2 linked regions of the Anolis sagrei genome follow. The protein of the gene in region 2 interacts with the protein of the main gene of each other region in a pairwise test. Links are inferred from orthologs where the notes say so. Each region holds a gene or a part of one and is shown on either strand. Other genes may lie near its edges.

Evidence for each region.
Region 1: the proteins of LDLRAD1 (region 2) and MAL-like protein interact in binary tests that used the Homo sapiens proteins (3 or more experiments, as listed by UniProt). The two-hybrid records come from large-scale screens. The link is inferred for Anolis sagrei from reciprocal best matches to the Homo sapiens genes LDLRAD1 and MALL.

Annotation. Positions count from the first base shown.
Region 1 is NC_090021.1:23,449,327-23,460,605, forward strand, and holds the start of MAL-like protein, read right to left. Parts: upstream 4,574-11,279; 5' UTR 4,370-4,573; coding exon 4,259-4,369; intron 1-4,258. Other genes in the region: NPHP1 (nephrocystin-1), read right to left, coding at 9,918-10,196.
Region 2 is NC_090024.1:172,564,218-172,574,702, reverse strand, and holds the start of LDLRAD1 (low-density lipoprotein receptor class A domain-containing protein 1), read right to left. Parts: upstream 4,574-10,485; coding exon 4,405-4,573; intron 1,353-4,404; coding exon 1,215-1,352; intron 984-1,214; coding exon 855-983; intron 1-854.

The DNA.
Region 1 (11,279 bases), on a different chromosome or scaffold from region 2:
ACTTCTGTAATGCTTATTCTTCACTGCAATTCCCTCACTACAGCATTTGTTCTGATTTCACCAGGATGGGCACTGTTTTCTTTCTGGGACAAACCAAGAACATGTTGAATTTGGAAGGAAAATCTATTGGAATTAATGGGATTGAGTTCCAAATAAACTCAGTCTTCTCTTCACTGCAGATGCATTTTATATGTATATTAGTAGAAGTCTATCTCCTAATTTGCAGCTACTCTTACTTTCCTCCTTCTCTGGCCTGCATTAGTCAACTCTGCTTTCTTTCTTGGTTAAATCCCCGGGTACCACATGCAGTCTTGCCACAGTCAACAGTGAAATCTATCCAATCATTATCTCCAGGTTTAACTGGGTAATTGGCCAGACCTTCAAAGAAAAACTCATGAGCTGAGCATGTTATTATATCCCTGAAGCAATCAGCCTCCAGGAGATAAATAATTAGGGATGGGAAAAGAGTGGTTCTCCAATCCAGATGGGCTGGATTGAATGCTGTAATGCATTATTAGTAATGGCTGTTTGGCCATGTCTTTCTTAAACAGAGGAGGCCCTGGTGGCACAGTGGGTTAAACCACTAAGCTGCTAAACTTGCTGACCGAAAGGTCGCAGGTGCAAATCCGGGGAGCGGCGTGAGCTTCCGCTGTCAACCCCAGCTACTGTCAACCTAGCAGTTTGAAAACTTGCAATAGGTACTGCATTGGCGGGAAGGTAACGGCGCTCCATGCAGTCATGCTAGCCACATGACCTTGGAGGTGTCTGCGAACAACACCGGCTCTTCAGCTTAAAAATGGAGATGAGCACCAACCCCCAGAGTTGGACACAACTGGACTTAATGTAGAGGAAAACCTTTACCTTTACCTTTTTACTTCTTAAACAGATTGCTGTTTGAATAAACCAGGATGGTCAACTAACATTTCATTGATAGGGATTAGAAACTAGGAGATGTTCCCCTGATTTCTGGATATCTCTGCAGAAACTAGATATATGGGAAGACTTAAAAGTTACACAAGGATAAAGATAGTGTCTGGAAGGAAGATAGATCAAGACTACACTTGACTGGGAATTGAAGTGTCTGCACTTGACTGTAAACCGTCCTGAGTCGCCTACGGGCTGAGAAGGGCAGTATAAATATAGCAAATAAATAAATAAATAAATTGACAGTTGCCCAAATTCTTCTCTGCGGCTGCAAAACTTGGAAAACTTCTTTTGGATTACCACTTTCTGGATCCATCTGCCAAGTTTTACTGTTAGAAATGTATTAGCTGCAGTTTGAAAGCTGTTTTTCTATTGTAACATTTTGCTCTTATATTTATTGAACATTAATGTAAGCTGACCTAGTTGGGTGGAGGGTGGAGAAGGAAGGAAGGAAGGAAGGAAGGAAGGAAGGAAGGAAGGAAGGAAGGAAGGAAGGATCATAAACATAAAGAACAGTAGTTCCGTGGCAAGGTACATGGTTTGCACCAAGACAACTCAGGTTCATTGGGTTATTGTAGGTCTTTCGGGCTCTAGGGCCATGTTCTAGAAGCATTCTCTCCTGACGTTTCACCTGCATCTATGGCAAGCATCCTCAGAGGTTGTGAGGTCTCGAGTTCAGATCCCAGCCTCTCTAGTTAAAAATATCTGACACCAATGGCAAGCAAAGATCTGTATAAGACTTTAAACAGCTATCCATCAGAGGGTGCAGTACTAGAATAAATAAATCAATAATCTGAGTATGAGGCAGTTTGAATGTTCAATGTACTCTCTACCAAAAAGACCCCTGGAACTACTCACTATGCAGGGGCCTTGCAACCATATAGTATCAAATCTAGATTCCTTATTAATGCACACAGAGACCTCTCCTGCTAGAGAAAAAGCACACGCAACAATATTAATACACACAGAGACTTCTTTCCTGTTAGAAAGAAAGCACACGCAACAGCTATCATATACTTTAAAATCACTTTTCTCCAACCTGGTGCCATCCATATGCATTTGCTAGAGCTTCCTTCATGCACAGCTGGTATGGAGTCAAATTGAGAAAGGCTGATCTAAAAGCACTAATTCAAATTGTCCCTTACTGGACTACTACATTTTTTTTGATGCAATCAGTCTTTGTATCAGCAGTGTACTTTTCAAGGAGTTGTTTCCTTGCTTTCTTCCAGAGACAATAGATTCAAACCAAAGGAAAAGAGATTTCATCTATAAGGAAGAACTTCCTGGTGGCAAGAGATGTTCGACAGTGGAATACGTTGCTTCAGAGTTTGGTGGAGCTTCCTGCTTTGGAGGTTCTTGATCAGAGACTGGGTGGCCATCTGTCAGAGTGCTTTGATTATGTATTCCTGAACAGAAGGTGGTTAGACTAGATGACCATGTGATCTAGTCCAACTCTTATAATTTTATTTCCCTTGATTTTCCTTCTTTTGGTTTTCCTCCCTTTTCAAATATGTCTCATTAAAAAGATATATATTGCACTCAGATGAATCTCACAGATTGCAGTGGGATGTGTGTTAAACCTGAACAGATGTTCCCAAATTTTCCAAGCTGAAGCTTAATACTGGACAAGACAGAGGTCCTCCAGGTCAGTAGTTTGATGGATTGGAGCATAGGGTGGCAACGTGTGCTTGATGAGGTTAGACTCCCCCTGAAGACACAGGTCCGCAGTCTGGGGGTTCTTATAGTCTCAGCATTTACGCTTGATGCTCAGGTGTTGTCGGTGGCTGGGAGGGCCTTTGCGCAATTAAAGCTTGTGCGCCAGCTGCAACCGTACATTGAGAAGTCTGACTTAGTTATGTCCAGTTTAGATTACAGTAATGCACTCTATGTGAGGCTGCCTTTGAAGACAGCCCGGAAACTGCAATTAGTGCAAAGGTCAGCAGTCAGGTTGTTAATGGGAGCAAATTACAGGATCCAGTCAACCCCACTGTTTAAACAGCTCCACTAGCTTCTGATAAGTTTCCGGTCTTAATTCAAGGTGCAGATTATCACCTATAAAGCCCTAAATGGTTTGGGACCTGGGTAACTTGGTGATCGCATCTTCCCATACAAACCTGCACAATCCCTAAGATCCTCTGGGGAGGCTCTCCTCTCGCTCCCCTTCTGTCTCAAGTGCAGATGGTGGGGACGAGGGAGGGGGCCTTCTTGGAGTTGGCCCCCTGGCTCTGGGAATTCTCTCCCCAGGGAGATTAGGCTGGTACCCACCTTGTCCATCTGTCGCAAAGATCTAAAAACATGGATGTTCCACTGTGCTTTTGATTAGTCGGTTCCCCAGAAAATTTTGACCTCCAGCTATAACCCAAAATTCAGCTCCTACACTTGACTATTCTTCCCTGCCCAAAGATATAGTGTTCCATCTCATATTGCGCTTTATCCCCAATCGTGTCAATTGGTACTTGCACTTTATCTATCAGCCCTTTCTTCACAGCTATTTGTGTCCCTTTCCCCCCACCGAAGCTTACAACTGTTTTGCCATTTCAGACTACTGGTTGTTTGTGGCGGTTGTTTTTATATTGTGTTATGCTCTTGTTTGCTTGTTTTTGTTTTATTTTCCTTTATATTGCTGTTTAATGAATTTTAATGTGTTATTTTGCTGTTTAATGAATTTTAATGTGTTATTTTAACTGTGTTGATCAGGCTATGTAAGCCACCCCAAGTCCCTTCTGGGAGATGGACACAGGGTACAAAAATAAAGTTAGGTTCTTGTGGGTTTTTTCGGGCTATATGGCCATGTTCTAGAGGCATTTCTCCTGACGTTTCGCCTGCATCTATGGCAAGCATCCTCTGAGGATGCTTGCCATAGATGCAGGCGAAATGTCAGGAGAAATGCCTCTAGAACATGGCCATATAGCCCGAAAAAACCCACAAGAACCTAGTGATTCCAACCATGAAAGCCTTCGACAATACAAAAATAAAGTTGTTGTTGTTGTTGTTGTTATTCAAACTCAGTAATCAGAGAAGCATTCTGAAATAAATTAAATCTGCACACACACTTCCTGGTCTAATAAATTACATATGTGATTGTACATTTATATGAGAGAATTTCCTTATTCAAGTTTGAATCTGAGATTATCAATAGAACTAACATACACGAAACCTGTGTTTATCATACAAATACCCGAAGCCGTTACTCACCATCCTATCTATGCTATGGCAAATACAGGTTTGTCACTGTATGAAGTCTTTGTTAAACATAATATAGATAAGTCTTTTTTGTTAAACAGAACATAGATTAGTCTTTTTAAATAACTGCTCTAAAACTCTGTTGACTTACCAGCTCTGGTAAGATGAAGGCATATGGTATTGTTCTGAAAACAGCTAGTCCAGACGGAATATTGTCAGGTACCGGGGAGACAGAAGCTGGTCCTGAGGTTTTGGTATCCATTTCTTTACAATCAAAAGTGTTCTGGCACTTACAGTCTGCTACTCTGGGTTATCTGTGTGATACTACCATTGGCTTCTGAAGCTTAAAATAGTATCCACTGACACACCCAGGTGGACGTCAAGGGTGAAACCAGTTCCAACTTGGCAGGTAGCTGTTCAAGTCATCACAGAAAAATCATCAACTATGCAAAGGCTAATAAAGTCCGTCAGAAAACAGAGATCAAATCCTTTATAAAAAGAAAACTAAAAAAAGAAGGAAGGAGGAGGGGCTATGCACACACACATAAAACTCCAGCTGTAATATTACTTGAGGGCTTCCTAAAAGAACTCTTGAATGGTTTCGTCAACTCATTCAGTTTCTATCCATTGTGTCCAATGAGGAAAATCTTTACAAGTTAACTACTATTTATTCTGAAAGTTTGAAACTTTAGAAAACATATATTTTGAAAGACAACAAACTCAAAAACAGTTTTGAATTCAAATGAAAACATGTTGGCATCTGATTTTTTCACAACTGAGGTTGGAAAAAGATCTCCCCTGGACAACTACTTGGCTTCTGTCAGATGTTGGACAAGAATGGTCTTGGACTGATCTATCATGGCATTTCTTATATTGTTATTTGATCACTCCAGCCAATAAAAAGGACCAGCTGGTGAGAGAGGATATAGTCATCCACTGGCTAGAAAAGGGGTGCATAGGAGTTTCTCTACAAGTCAGCCTCATTTTTCACCCCATTGCTGGCATAAATATATAGACAGGTGCTGTAAAGAGGGAGTTGATATAGCTGGATGAAGGCTAGGGAAAGGAAAACAGAAACATTACTAAATCACATTGGGTGACTTGTTTTCATTGTATTATTCACATTGTTGTAAACCACTCCAAGTCCCCTCAGGGAGATGGAGTGGGATATAAATTAAGTTTTATTCTTTTTATTATATTGCTTTTCTTTTGGAGTCAACATGACATTTGGTTGGAGGGAAAGAATGATATGGTTGCGGCAACTGGCTACACATTGTCTTTGGTCCTATTTAATTATACGTCCTAAAGAAAACATTCAACCTGTCTTTGGCTGCTACGCACACACTTTCTGTGCTACAGAGCAGAAATTAACACGTAACTGATATGTACTGGTTTTGAGAACAGACCTGTTTCCAAAAACAATCGTGTGCCAGGAGGAAGAAGGTGTAATCAAATAGAGAAATAACATGCTTAATAGGGGCATGGACATCTATTGTTTACATTCCTCCCAGCTGGTGGAATGTAAGACTGCTCCCTTTGTACCTAAAGCAAACATAGAGCAAGAAAGACCTCTGAAAAATATCAAAATAAGTCCATAGCCAGAAACAAATAAATGCACATGTATAGCCAGCCCTCCACATTTGTGGGTTTGACTTGTGATTTGATTATTCACAGATTTGATTAATATGTTACCTCTAGGAATCTCTAAAGTCCTCTAGATCAACTTCCAACAGAAGTAACAATGGAAGACCTAGACAGGTATTTTATCAAAAAAATAGTGCTTTTTTGCTGTTTTTCCACTTTCACAAGGGTCTTGGATGTCTAATGTAGAGGGCTGATTATATTTCCAAATCTCAAGTTTTATTTTTCTGATCTTTGTTTAATTACCAAACTTTTTTGTCTTATGGGATTGTTGCCATTCTTCCTTGAGGCAATGTACACAGCTTAAACATTACATAAATTAAAATGTGTCTTCCTGTATCTTCACAGGAAGATGGAAAACCTAGACAAGTGGCAGTTTTGCTATTTGTGTTCATATCTAAATATCAGACCAAAATACAAATACAAATACGTTCTGTTTTAATTCATGAGAGAGTTGGTTCCCAAACGTATTTACCCAACTGAACGTGTCATTTTTCCTAGACTGATGTATGTAGGAAATGAAATGTAAACCTATAGCCTTAAGGTCAGTAATCCTGTCTGCTCAATCTGCACATCCTGCTGCAGGGAGAAGAAACAACATGCACAATTAGCTGCTTAACCTTGTGGGAGTGAGATCTATATATCTGATGGGATTGAAGTCTTATATTAACATAGCAGCACATTTTCTAAATGTTCTGAGGGCAACACTGACGTGCTTTTCTGAAGGCCTCTATTGTCTTGCTGGAAATTGATTGGGAACACATCCAACAGAGAGACTGGTTTCTGGTTAGCCTTGTTGAACTAGTTTCATCTCCGCTCAGGTGCTATGGCTAGATTCCTGCTTTGGGCCCACTAAGCAAACATCTCAAAATAATTGCATTAGGAATGACCACTCCTATCTTTATGCCACTTGGGATGTTTAAGCCTCTTCCACTTCAATGAGATGCATTACGCCAGGAAAACCATGGACAGAGAGAAGTATTCAGAGGCTGCCTGTGCTGCAACAATCTGACAATTCAGACTTTAAAACCTGCACTGTTGTGCTTACAAGGTGGAACGGAATAATGAAAAAGAAAAAAAATATTGGGATATCTTTCATTTCTGTATCTGTCCCTACCATGTCAAACATTCAGCCCTGAAATTATAGGCTGTGGTCTAATGCAAGGATCTCCAGGAGAGGTTCTGATCATATCTATCCCCTGATGTCATTACCAGAATGTGATTGAATATGACAAGCTTTGGGTCAATTTGACACTTCTCTTACAGATGTTATGGTAAATGTTGACACATGACAGTAATTCTCAGAATAATTAGAAGGATAGTGGGAGATATGTATGCACTCCTACACATAACATCCAAACCTCAAAGAAGTATCTCCCTCGTGAAGAAACATGTTCATTTCCAACAATTATTAATAATTACCAGCATTTACTGAGACATGTTTAACTTTTTAAAAACTTTGAATGTTTTAAAGTTTATTTTTTAGCATATGATCATCATCTTGGGGGAAAAGTGGTATATTAAATGAATCAGAATTATTTGATTCAAACTTCAGGAATTAAGGCTCAAATTACAGAAAAGTGATTCCACCTAACTTTAGGAAGAACTTTCTGGTGGAAGGGCCATTGGACAGTGGAATATATTGTCTCAGAATGTGGTGGAATCTCTCTTTGGATGTTTTCAAACAGAGGCTGGATGACCACCTGTGCTATAATTGCTGTATTCCTGAATGTTGCTTTTTTTAGTCTTTTACAACTCTGTGTCCTAATGATTCTATGACATTGACTTGAAATATTTGATTTTTGAAATTCACCAGACCAAGTCAGAGTTTCTGCCACTTCCGACTTGTCTTGTAATATATTAAGGAACTAGCTGCCCCGTCATGCGTTGCTGTGGCCCAGTCTGTGTATGTGTTTTGTTGTGTGTATATATATTTGTGTATATGTGTGTTTGTGGTTTTGCACATGCATTGTAATTTTTGTTTTTGGTTTTTTCAGTCTCTTCTGCTGTGTTTATCAGTGTTTCTTAGACAGGCCCCTTCATTGGCAGTCTTCAGAAAGAACTTGAAGACCTGGCTGTTCCGATGTGCCTTTCCAGATTAGGAACCCCCAATACCAAATCCTAGAAGCACTTTAATAGAATTAAGATCACTGCACATCGCACAATGCACCTATTTTATAATCCTACATACCTCCTGCCACATCAGCACTTTTAATCCTGTACCCACTACCCCGGCCTGGCCCAGTTTTATAGTGTCTTGATGTCTGTGTATTGTTATTGTTGTTGTTTACTCTGCTTAATCTGCTTTTAATTTGCTCTAGGTATTGTATTGTTGTATTGTGTTTGAGGCCTTGGCCTGTGTAAGCCGCATCGAGTCCTTCGGGAGATGCTAGCGGGGTACAAATAAAGTAATAATAATAATAATAATAATAATAATAATAATAATAATTCTATAAGTGATGTTCATATGTTGGCCTGATAGGTGTATTGTGTCCAAGTTTGGTGTCAATTCGTCCAGCAGTTTTTGAGTTATGTTAATCCCACAAACGAACATTACATTTTTATTTATATAGATAGTAGTAGATGATAGTGTTTATTGAGCAGGATCTTGTGATGTATATGCACACTGTATAGCTTACAGTGCTCTCGGTTCCAACCCCGTCACAAGCGTGGTTGGTGGGAACGAGAGAGGGGGCCTTCTCCGTGATCGCTCCCTGTCTCTGGAACCCCTTCCCGAAATAAATAAAAACAGACCCCACCCTCCTCTCTTTCAAAAGTCTTGAAAACACACCTCTTCACTTTGGCATATGGAGAAGAGAAGGATTGGGATACTTTAGACCAAGGGTCCCCAAACTAAGGTCCGGGGGCCGGATGCGGCCCTCCAAGGTCCTTTACCCGGCCCTCGCTCAGAGTCAACTAAGTCTGAAATGACTTGAAAGCACTCGACAACAATCCTATCTCATCAGCCAAAAGCAGGCCCACACTTCCCATTGAAATACGGATAAGTTTATATTTGTTAAGATTGTTCTTCATTTTAATTATTGTATTATTTTAAGTGTTTTTTGCACTACAAATAAGATATGTGCAGTGTACATAGGAATATATTCATGTTTTTTTCAAATTATAATCCGGCCCTCCAACAGTTTGAGGGACTGTGACCTGGCCCTCTGTTTAAAAACTTTGAGGGGCCCTGCTCTAGACAAATGCCATTGGAATGCTGGCTGACTTACTTGTGCCCCATGGCCACAATGGTACATTTTAAAAAACAACCAGAACAGCCAATGTTTATCTATTTTAATTGTTTTACTGTGACAACTGTTTTAACGTTGATTATGTTTTTAATGTACTTTGTTTTACGTGTTTATTTGTATCCTTTTTTTCATTTTTGATGTTTAATTTTTTCATGCAATTAGTTCACTGTTGTTATTATTTTTTATTATGTCATTGCTTTGATGTATCTGCACTTGTTTGGGAATTGGATGTTTGCTTTGTTTTGTGTGTAAACTGCCCTGAGTCCTTTTGGGGAGAGAGGACAGTCTAGAAATAAAGTATTATTTTTATTATTATTATTACATGCATGCTCACTCGCTCGCTTTCTGGTAGGAGTGCAAAGCTCTTTGCTAGGTCTTTGCATAATGTCTAAAAGCTCTTCTCTCCCAGTAGCTGTCAAACCCCGAGGTGAGCTGCTGCTATTTCAAGAGAGGACAGATAATGAAGATGCAACTGCTGTAGGCTCCCAGGGGAAGAACAAATAAAAGGAACCCAGTGTTCTTTTGTTTCTTCTGCCCTTCAAGATGACACCAGCTGCATCTTCATCAACTGAGCTGCCTCCTCTTCCCACCACCTTCCTGGGCTGAGCCAGAGGAGAGGCATAGAACTGTATAAGGGACACATTAGTTGCTGTCTGCTCAATGTAAGATCTGAGGCACTGAACGTTATCTGCTTCTCTGACAACTTTTGCTAGGAAGCAACCCCATAAAAACACAGCAAGAATGATCAAAGTTAATAAATAAAACTTTATATATTTTCTTTAAAAAATAGTTACCCAACATATCTTAATAGCAAATCTAAACTATAAAAATATTACCTTTTTGGCCACATTAGTCATTATGGTTATTGATACATTTTTGACACAGTATTTGGCAGAGATGCATGGCCTTAAGATTCACTTACACCAAAGGATTATTTGTCCTTGCCTCTCCTACAAAATCATATGCTATTTCCATGATATCAAAAGCTTTGTGAGGACTTTCAGATGATAGCAGAGAGGAGAGGGCACCCTCTCTTTCTCTGTTTTTCTTCAGGAAATCAGCAATCATTCGCCAGCGTGTGCCTTCTGACTCTTCTTCTGCCCATTTGTATTCTGGAAGGATCACAGACTGGAGAAGAGGAAAGACAGAATCGTGGTACACCAGGTTGAACACAGACTTCAGAAATTCCTGGTCTCTCTAAAAAAGGAAAAGACAAATTTAAAATACATTAAATGTTTGATGGAATCCTACAATTGAGTTTCTAAAAAACTTGGGAGTAAAACTGTTTTGGATACTTCTGTATTTTGTAATATCTGTATTTGTGTGTGTGTATAGAGAGAGAGGCGGGGAGAGAACGAACCTGGAGAAGGGACGTAAGTACAACATGAAATTCATTTATACTTCATAAATATATAGACTGAAGATTATTTTATACAATACTTTGATTATTATTATGCAGGAAACAAAGTTTGCGTACATTGACCCAGCAAAAAACCAAGGTATCACTATCTTAGCCACTCATGTCACCAATTTTGAATTTTGGACTTTAGAGGGTTAGGCGCCATCCCCCAACCCTCAAAATCAGAGGAAACGTGAATATCTCCAGGGGGATGGGACACCTCCACTGCACATAGCTGGCTCCTCCTCTTACAACGTGCCACAAATATCTGATTGTGGACCGATTATCAGAGGCTCTGAAAGTTAAAGTTCAACAACATCTAGGTACCCAAATTTGTGAACCACTATTCTATAGAAAAGGTTTCTTCAGATGGTGAGTGAGTTCTCACATGTGGATTCCATTTCTACATAATGCAACTTACTTCAGTTCTTTTTCTCGCTTATATTCGTTTTGTTTATATTTCTTTTCTTTTTTTGAGAAGAGATCAATTGAAAGGCAAGCATAATAAACTCAGAGAGGGAAAGAGATAAAATATATACTATAAAATTCAAGTCATTCTAATGTAGATTGGGATTAAAGGTGAACCCCAAAATGGCTAGAGACTGCAATCAGAAATGTTTTATATTAGAACTGCATAATACTAGTAAACACATTTGGCTGAGATGGTCACACTGATTCTATTCTGTGTTGTATCCAGTAGGAATCAAACCCAGGCTAGTGCCACAGCGTAAAAGAAGGATTACAGCTTGTTCCTGCTCAAAACTCCTAAAACGTATTGATCCATTTGCTTGAAACACTATTTACATTCTTCCCCATCACAGCAATAGTGCCAACAGAATCTAACACTGGATCCTACTGTCAAGAACTGACAAAGGGTGAGA
Region 2 (10,485 bases):
ACAGTTCTCCTTGTGCAATGCCATTGCCCCATGCACAAGAAGCTCAGCATATGCTTTTGTACCGTTCAGCTGCTTTGTCTCCTTTGCAAAGAATTAAAGCTGCTTCTTGGATGCCCAAGGCAGGTGGACAGTACCTAGGTACACTCCTGTGGACAAACGGACTGCTGGATGGTGTATTGCTATTTGCTAAACCTTGCCAGGATATCTTTTGTAATAATGGTTGCTGACTCTATCTGATCGTGGAAGCTAAGCAAGGTAAGCTCTAGTTTGTATTTCAATTAAAAACTGCCAATGAATACAAATATACTGTAGGGAAGAGCTTCCCAAACTGTGTTTCACATAATCTTAGGGTTTTGCAAAAGCACTCTAGGTGTTCCATAAAAAATATTAAACTCTCCATAATAGCTACTTTGTGCTACAAATATTTCTGCAAGGTATATAGTTACTGGCTACACATTTCAACGTTTTAAAAGTGTTTCATTCCCAAGTCAATTGGACACTGTATTCTAAGTCAGACCTCGCCTGGAATCACTCTGTGTCCAATTCTGGGTACTGCAATTTAAAAGAGATATTGACCAGCTGGAAGGTGTCCAGAGGGCAACTAAAATGATCAAAGGTCTGGAGACCACGAATACCTATGAGAAGCATCTTAAAGACTTGGGTATGTTTAGCCTGCAGAAAAGTAGGTTGTGAGGAAACATGATAGCCATGTATAAATATTTGAAAGGATATCATAAGCAAGAGGGAGCAGGCTTTTTTCTGCTGCCCTGGAGACCAGGACTCAGAGCCTTTCACCCTATCATAAATCATAAGCATCTGTCAGTGATATATAGTTTTATGATGAACAGACTTACAGGTCCCTACTTCATCAGAGCAGTCTCCACAATCATTGATCCCATTGCATCGTTTGTCTGCAGGTATCCAAAATCGGGGATTGCTGCAATGAAATATTAAGTAACCTGGAAGGTTGTTGGGTAAGTCACCTACCAAAATAAATACAACAAAATACATCATTTTAGCAGGGATGTGCATGAAAGTCTTATGATTATCCCCTAATGTCCAAACATTTTTCTGATGATATTAACAGGCAGCCTCACAAAGATATAGATGTTGGAAAGAAAGCCTAAACATTCCAAAGGATAAAAAGTTATTTGAAATAATGAAATCGATGAAGCAAAGACAACTCTTGAAAACCAGGTTTTTGTTACACTTACTACATAGTGTCTCTTGCTCATCCTCCCCATTTGCACAATGTCTTCTTGTGTCACAGACTTGGCTGGCTGGTATACAGGTCTCTCGGTTGTCACATAAAAAGCCTGTCTGGTTACTGGTAGTCACACATAAACGATTCACTGAAAAATAAAAACAATATAATAAATTATAAATACTGATACTGATCAGATCAAGTACACTTCTGTAATCATTTTACTGTATATTAAAACGTCTAATTGCAGACTCACGACTGATCTTCAAGCTTAGTTATCATTAGGGCCCCCTTGTGTTGCAGCAGGTTAAACCACTGAGCTGGTGAACTTGCTGACCAAAAGGCTGGCAGTTTGAATCCAGGGAGAGGGGTGAGCTCCTGCTATTAGGCCCAGCTTCTGCCAACCCAGCTCAAAAACATGCAAATGTGAGTAGATCAGTAGGTACTGCTTCTGCAGGAAGGTAACAATGCGCCATGTAGTCATGCTGGCCACATGACCATGGAGGGGACTACGAACAATGCCAGCTCTTCAGCTTAGAAATGGAGATGAGCACCACCCCCCAGAGTCAGACATGACTAGACTTAATGTCAGGGGAAATCTTTACCTTTTACTCAGGTCATTTAAGTTCCACATAGGGACAGTGTGGGCCCTAACCCTTAGAAGTGTGTTGTTGTTATGTGACTTCAAGTCATTTCTGACCTATGGCGACCCTAAGACGAACCTATCACCTGGTTTCTTGGCAATATTTGTCCAGAAGAGGTTTTACATTGCCTTCCACTGAGGTTGAGAGAGTGTGACTTCTCCAAGGTCATCCAATGGGCTTCCATAGCTGAACAGAGATCCAAACCTTGGTCTCCAGAGTCATTATCCAACATCCACATAAGAGTAAGAGAAACCATTTGAGTGTATACTGTGAAGAAGTGTAATACACAGCTGTACAAAATATTTTGACTATGTTTTAAGAAAGGCTATATGTGGGAATGGTTCATTTTGGCACCTGCATGATTAATTCTGCGAGATGATATACTTTCTGGTCAGAACCAAATGAAAGGAAATGGCTTCGAATGCTCTGAGATTTAGAGAAATCAGTCAAACTGGCAGCATATCAAAGGAGACTATTAACAACCATTAAATGAAATATAGAAGCCCATTGTAAGCTATCTTAGTTATGATAGATTGTTTGATGCGGTGGTTCAGACAGTCTAAATTTGAAATACAGGGTTAGTCAAAATGCATAGGCCAATAAGCCATTCAATTGAATGGCTTATTGGCCTATGCATTTTGACTAACCCTGTATAACTTCAAGAGTTGATCTATCAATCATAGAAGTATGTTCTGTGAGCGATTTAGGCATTTGGCTTTGTGAGCATAGAAAGGATATATGTGGCAGGGGAAACTTTTACAATAACCACCCTTATCTTTTAGAGAGAAAGTCCTTTTCTCTTCAGTTTAGATATATCCTTGTGCACTTGAATGCTATCTCTATTCTTTCTACCATTTCCTTACAAGATAGATATTTTTAAAACCCTTCAGCTTTCATTCAAATTACAATGAATTCTGTTAGTAAATGGTTTTGGAATTCCTGGCACAGAAGTTTTTGTAGTTTTGATGTGAAGTGGGTATTTATAGACTCTAAAAAATTTACAATAATTCAATATTGTGTTATCCTCTTGATATTTGTGTAGTTTTCTGTGTATGCATTTTAAAAAAGTCATTTGAGTTCACTGGATGCTCTTCACTTTCTACTTTTTACTTCTTTTTTTTTACTTTTTACTTTTTACCAGTGGTTCTCAACCTTCCTAATGCTGCGGCCCCTTAATACAGTTCCTCATGTTGTGGTGACCCCAAACCATAAAATTATTTTCATTGCTACTTCATGACTGCGGTTTTGCTACTGTTGTGAATTGTAATGTAAATATCTGATATGCAGGACGTATTTTCATTCACAGGATGAAATTTGGCACAAATATCCAATATGCCCAAATTTGAATACTCGTGGGGTTGGGATTTGGGATTGATTTGCTCATTTGGGAGTTGTAGTTGCTGGGATTTATAATTCACATACAATCAGAGAGCATTCTGAACACCACTAATGATGGAACTGAACCAATCTTGGCACAGAGAACTCCCATGACCAACAGAAAATACTGGAAGGGTTTGGTGGGCATTGACCTTGAGTTTTGGAGTTGTAGTTCACCAACATCCAGAGAGCACTGTGGACTCAAACAATGATGGATATGGACCAAATTTGGCACGAATAATCAACATGCACAAATGTGAACACTATTGGAGTTTGGGGAAAATAGACATTTGGGAGTTGCAGTTGCTGGGATGTATAGTTCATCTACAATCAAAGAGCATTCTGAACCCCACCAATAGGGCCAAACTTCCCACACAGAACTCCTATGACCATCAGAAAATACTGCATTTTTATGGTCTTTGGCGACTGCTCTGATACCTCCCTCGCAAACCCCCCAGGGGTCCCGACCCCCAGGTTAAGAAACGCTAAACCTTCCCAAAGTCATCAAAAAATATGAAATGTCCTCCCAAGTGCTATTTGGACTGGTGCTTGCTCAGTACATAGCTTTCCAGCCCTACCTTTCCAAAACAATCCCACAGGTGAGCAGAAAATCTGAAACTAACAATCAGAAGTGAACTTCTGGTCATTTCTGGGATCTATTTTCAGGTGATTTGGTATCAAAATATAGCCATGTCAAGACAAACATGAACCCCTTATGTCCTCTGTGGGTACCCACAATATCAGTCCACAGACAGCTTTCCCTTTAAGTATGCAACAGGAGAGGGCTTGTAATTACTCAAGTTTCAGAAATTTTCCTGAGAGCAAAACTGGACATGATGGCAAAATGATGAGCATCATGTTATAGTTACCCTCTGGTTAACCATTGTAATTCCAGGAACTGGTTTTGCTAGTTCCCCTGATAAACAAGTCTTGGAGATCCAGAAAACCAGATTTTCATGAAATGCCCAGAGCTCCAGGAAGGAGTTAAGAGGAAGTACGGTATATTCAGCTATATTGTTACTGCAACCTTGGATTTAGGCTTCAGCTTCTCATTGTGTCCACACACTACTTACTTCAACAAGCTCAACCTTTAACATATTGAAATAATTGTGACACATTCAAGGCATCATATCAATGACTCTAGTGGGAAATAATACAGTCAACATAATAGTGACTGACCTGCTGTACGTGGGGGGATACCAACTGTGACAATTAATGCAATGGCAGCAATGATAACGGCAAGTATAATAAAACCAATGGCAGATGCACAGACGCATCTCCGAGTGCAAGGGACGCATTGACAAGACTCCTTGCAGCAATCTCGCTGGTCACGTATGGTACCTGCCATGGAGAGAGGCATTAAAGAGCAAATAAAATGCAATATTTTACTACAAAATCTGCAAGCAGAAACCAGCTTTTACCAACCATTGACTAAACCTCAATAGAAAAAAAAGCCACTTTGGTTGTTACTAATTCTCAAAGTTATTCCATACAACCATACCAATTATTTATGCCCAAAGTTTTCTGCTTTTGCCACACTTATCAACCCATTACTAATGTGATTTTAAGTAATTGTTTTTAATTTATATGTTTTAATCATGTGATTTTAATGTATATGTTGTTTTATTTTTATATGTACTTAAGGCATCAATTTGTGCCTCTCTTGTAAGCCACCCTGAATCTCCTTTGGGGTGAGAAGGGCAAGATATAAATGTCGTAAATAAATACATAAATGTTTGGGGGGGGGGGGAGTTTCAGATATATCTAGGTCTTTCGCACCGTACCAATGGTGTCGTCTAGATGTTCTGGAATTTAGCTCACAGAAATCTTAACAACTGGCCAAGCAGGCTGAGGCTTCTGGGCATTGACCCTCCCCCAACATCTGGATGAATAAAGGCTGGGGATCTATGCATAAAATCATTAAAGCACTATGATTCCATTTTAACTGCTATAACTGGGATTTGCAGTTTAGGGACTGGTACAAATTAACCACTGCCCCAGTGGTGCAGTGAGTTAAACTGCTGAACTTGCTAATCACAAGGTTGGCGGTTCGAATCCGGGGAATGGGGTGAGCTCCCACTGTTAGGCCCAGCTTCTGTTGAACTAGCAGTTTGAAAACATGCAAATATGAGTAGATCAATAGGTACTGCTTCGGCGGGAAGATAATGGTGCTCCATGCAGTCATGCTGGCCACATGACTTTGGAGGCATCTACTGTCAACACCGGCTCTTTGGCTTAGAAATGGGGATGAGCACCACTCCCCAGAATTGGACGCGACTAGACTTAAGGTCAGGTGAAACCTTTACCTTTAATTATGAATTATTATCAGCAAGAGCACAGTAGTACCTAACCACCAAATGGAGATGTGTACTTAGTTTTCTGGCTGAGAATTATATGTAAACTGTAAATCCCAGGAGTATTTAAAATCATTGGGGGGGGGGGGGGGTGTTAAGTGGAATAATAGTGCTGTAATACTGTCATCTGAAGTTGCCCTTAGTTTAATTTTTTCCAACATCAAAAAATACGTAAAATCAATTTGGTAAAAAAAGTTTAATATTGACATGTTCATAGAGAACAGCTGATATTTTACAAATCTCATCAGATGATAACATTACAATTTGTCATGAGTTGACTCCAGTAAAGCTATCTTTAATCATTTAAATGTCAATGTGCAACTAAACTATTTAACCATCTATTTCCTGCTCTGGCAGTTACTCAACAAAATGTCTAGAATTGATCTTTTTGAAAATCTGTCTCTTGAAAACTGTTTTTAAGTGCAGGTGCCAAAGACAGAACCTGAGGACCATGGCATGCATCCCATACTTTACAGTGCTGGTCCCTTTCAAATATACAAAATGCCAAACTGAGAATCAGATAATCTCGAATTCTGTAACCACCTGCCTCCCATCACTTTCCTGTCTTTAGTTGTTTGAGAATAATTACAATTGACATCCTTTTATGAAGCATATAACATGTTGTCATTACCCCGAAACACAAAGCCCATTTCCTGTAAATATTTATATTTAACTTGGTTTGGGGACTATAAAAGTGTCTGTATTTAATAAGAAAATGTGTGTACAGTAAAAGACAGCAGATGCACGGAGAGAAATGAAATAGACTCCTTTAAAAGATGAGATTTCTCCCAATTACCTCTTTTAGTTGTAGAGAGAGATTTTTCTGAACCAAGGAAGCTTCCATCAAAATTCTGAAATTAAAAATAATAATAGATACATACCTTATTGAAAAGGGGAGCCTTTGAGACACTAAGAAGTAATTGCATCCATTGGCCTTTTAAATCAAATATATTTGGTTGATAAACTTGGCTGACTTAAATGCATCCTATCTGAATATTTTCAGCAACATGCAAATACCACACAGAAATTAAAATTTTAATTTTAATTCAATCCATTAGTTAAAAATTACAGAAAAAAGCAGTAAAATTGTGTGTTTGTCTGATGTTCAAAGTAATAATTACAAATATCTTTTTCAAGAGTGTGTAATAATACCTGAGGGTAAGTTCTGGTCATCTTTCCCCAATGAATTACTTCAGAAGTTATATTAACTCACAGGTAGGAATTAATCTGACTGGGTGTTCATCTCTGTTCAAACTATCATGCTGCTAGTACAGGAAGAGGAACTAACTTTTACAAGCTGTTTTGTTTTATAAGACCAAACCACAGATACATTCTTGGGGTAGTGTTACCTGGCTACTAAGAGAAACAGATGTAAGAACAAAAGGGTCATGTTAAACTCAGCCATGCCTAGGAAAAGTGATAACAAAAACAAATAGCACGATCTGCCTACCTGCAGCTTTGCCAGAAATTATAAAAGACTTTGTGCTAATACTTCAGACCCTTCTGGAACTGAACTTATTAACTAACTTAAGAACTTAAAAGAGTTGTGATGGGTCAGACAGAAAGGCAATCTAACCCAGCATTCTGGTCACACCATTCCCAACCAGTAAGCTTTGAAGGAGCATGTTAGTTCACCTGCAACCTGTTCTCCAACAAGTGATGCAAAGAGGTATTTTGCTACTGATACTGGGAGTGATAATACAACCATTTGGATTAGTAGCCACTGATTTTCCAAAGCAACACATCAGCATCTTTACAGATATGGTAGATGGGAAAATAATGTTGTTTCCTACAAGGCCATTAAATGCCTATCAAGGTGGCTAACTGCAACATTCGCACTTGCCTCAAACAGACAAGAGTTTTTTCTCCCACCCTGGACATTCCACAGATATATAAATTTCACTTGCCTAGTTTCCAATAGACTTCACAACTCTGAGGATGCCTGTCATAGATGTCGGTGAAACGTCAGGAGAGAATGCTTCTGGAACATGGCCATACAGCCCAGAAAACTCACAGAAACCCAAAGTTGTTTCTGATCCTTAAGATTGTCAGTTACTGTTTTTAACTTTAAATTAATTCTTTTGGTATAGCAACCAGCCTTTTGTATACTTTTTGTATAGCCATATTTAGATAAGGTTCCATTTTAACTGATACCACAAAGACCCTTTAAATTAAATTAGTCTGCAAAGCTTCTGTTCATATATGTTGACTGATATTTAATCGTATAATGATTCAGTGTTCATTCATGGCTTTTTTTTTCATTTAAACACCCAAAACCACTGCAATTTTCAAAAATGAAAGTGTGGAAAGGATCCAACTTCTCAAACCACCTTCCTAATCTGATTAACCAAAAGCTGTTTACTATGAATTAAGAAATGACTAAGTATTTTATACTTTTGTGATCTTCCCAAACTCCTAAAGCATCGATCTGTTTCTTGATTGCAACTGCTAGAATTCTTCACTATTGATTACGTTGACACTGATGGAATGTGCTTTTAAATAACATTTGCAGAGCAAGAGTATTACCAATCCTGGTGTAAAACATTGGATCTTTTAGTGCAGCTCCCTTCAGTTCCCCAGCATTGAGGATGCTAGGGAACTGACGGAAGCATTTGAAAAACAGCACAACACAACAATTTAGAAACTAGTAAATCCTTCAGACTGCTGTGTAAGACACTTGCAGGGAGGCAACTTCAGGTGTGATAGGTGATATAAAATGACACATCAGACCTATGAGGGCTTTCAGAAAAACACCTCAACATGTTTATTTTGCAATTGAGATTTCATTTAACAATCCTATCCCACTCAAAAATGCCAAAAATAAGGCCAGCTAGTAAGTTTCATGTTAATGGGGACAAGGTAAAACAAATAGGAACCTTGCTGTATACTAAATTTAGCAAATTTAAAACTATTAAATCATCTCAGGTTGAATTTGTGGCATCTTGTTGGTTCTGAAGTTTTGAAGTACTCAAAATCATGTCTTTTGGATAAACTCTCATCACATGAACACCTCAACTGAAGCAAACATTAAATAGTACGTTTTCTTCTTGATGCAGCATTTGAGGAATGCGGTTTTGTTATTCTTCATCACATCAACTGCCATTTTACACAGTAGAACTTTACTTAGTATGAGCAGATCCAAATGTGATCCTGATGATATCAATATGTGAAAAAGATTTTGGAGATGGAAATGGGTTCACATGTGGTTACAGGAAACATGATGATTAACATGCTATGGTGGTCACACCTCTCTGATCGGTATCAAGAGCCAGATAAAGTACTGACTTGCATATAAGAGCAACCAAAAATAAAATTAGGCATGATGGCACATTTCAAGAATTGGTAACGGACAACACTTCTGTCTTCTACTAAATAAGAGTATGTAAAGCCCTAAAAATGGTTCTGTCATCTATGATTTGCTATTTAATATGAATGTCAGAGGTAGAGTTCAGTAATATTGGTCCCCAAAATAGCAGCAATGTGTCTTTAGACTGAAGTATGAATTCTAGCTTATTTAAACTTTGCAATGCTTAATTCAGCGTTTTTCACAAACGAATCTGTCATGAACATTATATTCAGAAACCGGAAAGAACATGAAGCAACAATAGTTGAAGTAAGCAATGCATAGTAAAATTACTTTGAAGCAGCATTTGTTTTTTTTGTTGTATATTGTAGTGTTAGCGGTCTTAACCTTTAAAGTTGCAGGACTGGGAGACAACCCTACTATTGAAATGAAGTGCCAATCTCTTCCTAGAAGAAAAACATAACAGGCTGTGGACATCAGTTCCTTTACCCTTCCCAGACCACCCTTTTCTTTGCCCCATCATAAAAGATGGACATATTGGATGACTGCTGTTTGCCCCATCATAAAAGGACATACTGGATGACTGCTGTTTTAGATTAAAAACACCAGTTTTATTACTGTTTCCAGAATCATATACTTTATTGTGATCGTTTATTCATATGTACAATATATAGTGATATTTAGAGACAGCAGTACGTTATTCAGATTTTATTGGGTTGCTCTTTCACTACAGAATAGTTGTTTTTATATGTTCTGTAACTTAAAACATGGTAAGGTTCAACAGACTAAAGGTATTTAGCCTTCCCCATATATTTTTAAGCTGTTAGTAAGTTTATATTGTCAAAGGCTTTCATGGTTGGAATAACTGAGTTGCTGTGAGTTTTCTGGACTGTATGGCCATGTTCCAGAAGCATTCTCTCCTAACGTTTTGCCCACATCGATGGCAGCCATACTTAGAGGTTGTGAGGTTTGTTGGAAGCAAAGCAAGTGGGGTTTATATATCTCTGGAATGTCCAGGGAGGGAGAAAGAACTCTTGTCTGTTAGGCAAGTGTGAATGCTGCAATTGATCACCTTGATTAGCACTGAAAAGCTTTGCAGCTTCAAGGCTTGGCTGCTTCTTGCCTGGGGAATCCTTTGTTGGGAGGTGATTAGCTGGCTTTGATTGTTTCTTGTCTGGAATTCCTCTGTTTTTAAGTGTTCTTTCTTTACTGTTCTGATTTTACAGCTTTTTAAATACCAGTAGCCAAATTTGGTTCATTTTCATGGTTTAATCCTTTCTTGTGAAATTGTCCACATGCTTGTGGATTTCAGTGGCTTCCCTGTGTAGTCTGACATGGTAGTTGTTAGAGTGGTCCAGCTGAAGATGCCTGCCATAGATGTGGGCAAAACGTCAGGAGAGAATGCTTCTGGAACATGGCCATACAGCCTGGAAAACTCACAGCAACCCTGTTAATAGGTAGCTATCAAACATTTCAGAAGTCCTTATGAATAAGACTCAACAAATATCCAATGCAATATATTTTAATGTATAGAATTACATCAAAAACAAATAAAGGAACTTGAAAGCTCCTTTTGCCAATTAGTAATTTAGAATTGTTGTC